Linked DNA regions of Yarrowia lipolytica. The protein of the gene in region 1 interacts with the protein of each later gene in a pairwise test. Links are inferred from orthologs where the notes say so. Each region holds a gene or a part of one and is shown in the gene's direction. Other genes may lie near its edges.

Region 1 (3,762 bases):
CGCTGACAGAATAGAGCCTGAGTGGATCTTCCCTCAGCCAAAGTTCCGTGGAGTGCGGCGCCAGACCCTACTGCAAATAGGGCTCAGAGCAGCCATGTCTGATGACTCAGACCACATTATCCAAATGCCAGAGACGGCCCAAGATATCCCGACCCCAGTCTTTCAATTAACCCTTCTTATTCCACCCGTATTCGTGCGGCCGAATTTCCCTCCAACTGGCCACGATTTCCATTTCTTATGTGCGAGGGTTTTCTTCCATATTTTTATTATTATTATTATTATTTATTATTATTATTATTCTATATTTAAATATTACTTCAAATAAGTATTATCAATATTATTTTATTATTATTTTATTCCTTTTCCCATTTTTTCATTTTCTATTTTAATAAAAATTTTTATTTATTTATTTATTTAAAAAAATCACACCCGACGACACTACAATAAATATCACCGACAACCCAACAGTAAAAACATTTCACCATTAAATACAGGAAATTAAGCCATCCATTCTCTATCAACACATCATCTGCTCCATCTTTTATCCCTTTTTCAAGCAACAACACCTCCACACCGCCGTTCACCAGATTAACTCGTACCCAGTTCACCATTATGCACGTGGGTGGATACGACGCGCCGCACATGAGTAATGGGGCAATACGCCACGTAAGCGCAAAATAAGATTGCCTAGTTACCCGGGGGGCCGTTGCAGTGGAAATAAAAATTGAGTTTGACCACCAGGGCAGGGGCAGGACGATAGTTGCGTAGAGGGTAATAAGATAAGACCAATGTGGCTGGTCACGTGACCCAACTCGAGCGGAATAAAATTATCGGGCCAGGGGTCGTTAGGATAAGTGTTATGTATTACATAATCTTCACTATCCTACTCATTTCCCACAACCCTAACCCTCCCAGGCACACCCTGTTTTCCCCGTTCCCCCAACTCAAATAAGGTTTTTCCGAGCCCGAAGTCTAAAAAGCCTCAACCACCACCCCCCCCGACCGACCAATCCAAAACCTAGCCCTAACCCTAATTCTAACCCTACTCCACCTCCTCCCTGCCCTGCTGCATTCAAACATCACCACTTGTTTTGGGCGACTTTTTACGACATCCCAATTCTGCCCGAACCCTTTGTTGGTGCGAAAGTGATTGTTTTGACGGTAAATTGCTGCTAGCTGCCGCCTTAGCGCCACCCCCGATTTTTCCGGCTCTCGATTCGACCTCGTGACACAGACAGCGAACAACGGACATAAAAGCCTGCGACACAAACGGCGCAAGAGACACAAAAACACAAGGCATTTTTTCGGACGCCGAATTCAAACGACCGCCACAAACGAGACACACACACACGCACACACGTGATTTTCGAGTCTGGATATCGCTCGCCTCTGTCACGTGATTGGTTGATTTTGGTGATTTTTTGGCTGACCGATTTTCGACAATTTTTGGTTGACGACTTGTTACTACTTTTGACGACTTCGACAAGGGCTTACTTTTTGGCAAGGACATTTCTCGTTGACGATTGATATTGACGAGATTGTTGATTGTGATTGCTGACTACTATTACGGTATTGCTGACTACTCCGACTACTCATTACTCTGACCATGACCCAACTACAAAAACTACAAACGGCGTCGATCGACACCTGGCTGGCGGTGGGCTCGCTGGCAGAGCTGCTCAACGAGTCGGAACGCGCCATCAACGCCTACGAGGCAGCGCTCTCCTACAACCCCTGCTCCATTCCCGCTCTGACCGCCATCGCCAACCTGTACCGGTCGATGGAACACTTCCCCAAGGCGGTGGAGTACTACCAGAACATCATCTCGCTGAGCTCGGACTCGGGCGAGACCCACGGCTCGCTGGGCCACTGTTATCTGATGATGGACGACCTGCACAAGGCCTACTCCGCCTACCAGCAGGCCCTGTACCATCTGCGGGACCCCAAGGACCCCAAGCTGTGGTACGGCATCGGCATTCTGTACGACCGGTACGGCTCGCTGGAGTACGCCGAAGAGGCGTTTTCGCAGGTGATGGAAATGGACCCGCACTTTGAGAAGGCCAACGAAATCTACTTCCGGCTTGGCATCATCTACAAGCAGCAGGCCAAGTACTCGCAGAGCCTCGACTGCTTCCGGTACATTCTGCACAACCCGCCTCGACCGCTGACCGAAATCGACATTTGGTTCCAGATTGGCCATGTCCATGAGCAGCAGAAGGACTTCCAGTTGGCGCGAGAAGCTTACGACCGCGTGCTGGTGGAAAACCCCAACCACGCTAAGGTTCTACAGCAACTCGGCTGGCTCCACCACCAGCAATCGTCCACCTTTGCCAACCAGGATGTGGCTATCAACTATCTGCTCAAGTCGCTGGACGCAGATCCCCTGGAGGCCCAGTCGTGGTATCTACTGGGCCGGTGCTACATGGCGCAGCAAAAGTACAACAAGGCGTACGAGGCCTATCAACGGGCCGTTTACCGCGACGGGCGCAACCCCACCTTTTGGTGCTCCATTGGCGTGCTCTATTACCAGATCAACCAGTACCGCGACGCTCTGGACGCCTACTCCCGCGCCATCCGCCTCAATCCCTACATTTCCGAGGTTTGGTACGATCTCGGCACGCTCTACGAGAGCTGCAACAACCAAGTCAACGACGCCATCGACGCCTATCAGAAGGCCGCCGAGCTGGACCCCCACAATCCCCACATCCAAGAGCGGTTGTTGCAGTTGCGATCGGGCCAGGGCCACAATGGCGCCGCCCCCGCCGGTCCTCCTCGACCCCAGGACGTCAATCCCCAGAGCTACAGCCATCACGGTCCTCCTGGCTGGGACGATGCCGCTGGAGGAGCCGCTGGAGCCAACGCTGCTGCCGGAGGAGCTGCCGGAGGAGCTGCCGGAACTCCTCAGGCTCCTCCTGGACTTGGACCTCCAGGACTGGCTCCCGGCGGGCCTCCCGGCGGGCTTTCCAACGCCTCTGGTCTTGGATCTGGGGCTCCTCCTCCTCTGGCAGCCTCTTCTGCGCCGCTGCCTCCTCCTAACGGTCTTCCGGCTGCTCAGACTGCGCCCAACACCGCCCAGACCGCCGCTCCCACGCCTCCGCAACCCGCTGCCGCTCTCCCACAGCTCGCCGGAATCTCCGAGATCCAGCAGCGCGTCTTGCCACAGATTGACTACGCCGAAAACGGCCACGGTCACCAGGGAGGCGAGAAGCGACCCGGCGAATGGGAGGACGAGCGCCGTTTCAAGCGCGTGGATGTTAATGGCGCCGCCACGCCCGCCAGCGGCAATAACACCCCCAATCTTGCTCCGGGTGGCCAGGCTAATGCCGTTGAGCGTGATATCGGCTCTTCGGGCGCTGGTTCGGGTGTTCCTGGAGCTCCCGGTGCTCCCGGTGCGCCTCCGGCCGCTCCTCCGGCTGTTGCCAACGCCGCCAATGCCGCTGGAACCACGCCTCTGCCTCCGCCCCCACCCACGGTGCCGCCGCCCGCGCCCCAGCACGTGCCGACGACCCAAGAGCTGCCACCAGTGCAGGACACGCCGACTCCCGCAGCGGTTGAGCCCAAGAAGGAGGAGCCGGACGTGCCCGTTGCGGTGCCTATTTCCGCGCCTGTTTCTGCGCCCGTTGCGGCGCCCACTGCCGCCGCCGCTGCCGCCGTGCCTCCTGCCGCGCCTCCTAGTGCACTTGCGCAGGCTCAGGAGCCAGAGAAGCCCGACGTTCAATCTGACGTTAAGTCTGACGCGAACGAGGTTAGCGACGTGAAGCC
Region 2 (2,749 bases), on another chromosome or scaffold:
CTGTTGTGTGGTTCTGGGTGGCAATGAAGAGTACTGTAACCACCGTGAGCATGATGTATGTGGCGATGCGGGAGAGTAGGGTTAGGGTTAGGAGGGAACCACCCTGAGAGCGATAGTTGGGGTTTAGTTGGGAGTTCAGTTGAATGTGGAGGAGAGGTGAGTTGGTGGTGTTTGGAGGGTTACGGAGCTCAAAAAAAGTCGATTGGGGAGGTCTGAGTGGATGATACTATTATTCATATAGACTGAGACTCCTGTGAGGGTATTTGGTGCCTTACTTTGAGTGTTATGTTGAGCTGACCTCGGTTAAACAGGTAAACTAATCTCAAACTTGAGGTTCTGAAAACGGAAATTTATAAGGGACGTTTCCATCGTGTTGGAGGTGTTTGATCAAGCTAGTGATTTTTCCAGTCGTTCAAATGTAGCTTTAATAATGGTTTTCCGGAATTTTTATATTTCTGACGTCTCTATACCCTCCGTTATATTGACTCTTTTGAGACTACTGTATGTACAGTATGTACTTGTAGATGTTAGCTGTGTATAGTGGTAAGGAGGTAGAGACATGGCAGTGGGTATTGGGTCAGGTGCTACATGATGAGAGAAAATTACTTGCTCAATAAAGTAAGCCATGGTCAGATAATGGCCAACATTAGAGAAAAAGATATGCTCACAAGCCATTTTTCCCGACTTTTCGCCACCTTTTCTATCTGTCCTAGAATTTCACCCTACCAATAAAGTTTCTTATATGCACAATTAATTCACCTCCATCACCCATCTCCAGTGCACTAAACAATATACGACAGAAAAAAAAAAGCACATAATACGGGATTTATCGGCAGAGACGCGGCACAAGTGACACCAAAATCAACGCGACACCGTCACAAACACAACACATAGCATCACATCACATTCCACTTCTCTACAGTCATGTCAGAACCAACCATCGTGTTTGACTCCAAGACGGTGGAAAACACGCCTCTCTACGAGTCGTTTCTGACGACACAAAAACGCCGCGTGTCGTACCATTTCAACGAGGAGGCTGCGCGATACCATTATGGAGTCCGTCACCCCATGAAACCGTTTCGACTCATGCTGACAGACCATCTGGTGCTGGGATACAAGCTACACAACAAACTGGACTTGTACAGATCCCGAAGAGCCACAGAAACAGAGGTGCGGGAGTTCCACGCCGAAGAGTACATTGATTTCTTGCAACGTGTCACTCCGGATAACATCAAAAAGTTCCAGCGAGTTTTACCCAAGTTTAACATTGGAGACGATTGTCCCATTTTCGACGGCATGTACGACTACTCGATCATTTACGCAGGTAGCAGTTTGGACGCGAGTCGAAAGCTTCTTGCTGGCCAGTCAGATATCGCCATCAACTGGTCTGGAGGTCTGCATCATGCGAAAAAGTTTGAAGCCAGTGGATTCTGTTATGTGAACGACATTGTGTTGGCGATTCTGAACCTTCTCAGAATGTATCCACGTGTTCTTTACATTGATATCGACATTCACCACGGAGACGGAGTGCAGGAGGCGTTCTATTCGACCGACCGAGTCATGACTCTGTCGTTCCACAAGTATAACGGAGAGTTCTTCCCTGGTACGGGAAACTTTGACGAGATTGGAACTAGTCTGGGCAAGAACTACTCACTCAACGTGCCGCTACGAGACGGAATCGACGACGAGTCGTACGTGCGGCTGTTCAAGAGTGTTTTAGAGCCTGTTCTCAACAGTTACAGACCCTCGGCTATTGTGCTTCAATGTGGAGCTGATTCGCTTGGTGGAGATCGTTTGGGATGTTTCAATCTCAACATCAAGGCCCATGGAGAGTGCGTTGCATATACAAAGTCGTTTGGCCTGCCTCTGATTGTGCTTGGAGGAGGAGGATACACCCCTCGCAACGTGTCTCGATTGTGGTGTTATGAGACCAGTGTGTGTCTGGACGTTGATCTGGAGACTCGGTTGCCTTCTTCCATGCCTTTTCTCAAGTATTTTGCTCCAGATTACTCGTTGCATCCCAACCTGGCTGGTAAGATCGACAACAAGAACTCCCGCAAGTTTCTGGATTCTGTGCATGTGCAGGTGATGGAACAGCTGAGAACTTTGCAGGGAGCCCCCAGTGTTCAGATGGCTGAAATTCCGCCGGACCTGGCCGGTCTGACTGAGGAGGGAGAAAAGCAGCGACGAGATGAGCTTGACGAGGCGATGAAGGATGCGAGGTAGTCGGGCATGGAGCACATTATATTTATTGTAAATAGGCAGGGAGTCGAAAGGCTCGTAATCAACTAATGATGATATTGGGGGCACAGAAACGACTTCAAGTACCACTATCGATAGTTGACGCATTTACTTGAGACGGACGACGGATACTCGTACAAAACTGGACATTGTTCAACACACCAGATATGATCGTTTGTCTCCTTAGAGGTATGCTTACGCGCTACACTTAGACTTGCAGGGTTATGCTTATTGGAGGCTCAAAAATGGGCTGATGAAAAGTATTGCAACTGTATCTGGATGTATGTTGCATTATCGACCGTGGCATTTGCCAGAATGGGAGTGAGACGGGAGCACGGGCTTTTTCGGACGTGTGACGGCGTGCGTTGTTTCAGATTTATTTGATAAGATCGGCGTGAGAATTTTGCGCTGCTGAGTATGGTGGTATTCGGCCGGCTCGTGGATTAGGAGAGGGCCACCAGGTGCTAGTGTGTTGGATAGTGGTCTGTTTTCTATGTACATACAGTTC

What was found.
Region 2: the proteins of YALI1_B09894g (region 1) and YALI1_C07780g interact in binary tests that used the Saccharomyces cerevisiae proteins (3 or more experiments, as listed by UniProt). The link is inferred for Yarrowia lipolytica from reciprocal best matches to the Saccharomyces cerevisiae genes CYC8 and HOS2.

The regions. Positions count from the first base shown.
Region 1 is NC_090771.1:987,843-991,604, forward strand, and holds the start of YALI1_B09894g (uncharacterized protein), read left to right. Parts: upstream 1-1,606; coding exon 1,607-3,762. UniProt on the Saccharomyces cerevisiae protein: Acts as a component of the CYC8-TUP1 corepressor complex which is involved in the repression of many genes in a wide variety of physiological processes including heme-regulated and catabolite repressed genes.
Region 2 is NC_090772.1:777,098-779,846, forward strand, and holds YALI1_C07780g (uncharacterized protein), read left to right. Parts: upstream 1-924; coding exon 925-2,226; downstream 2,227-2,749.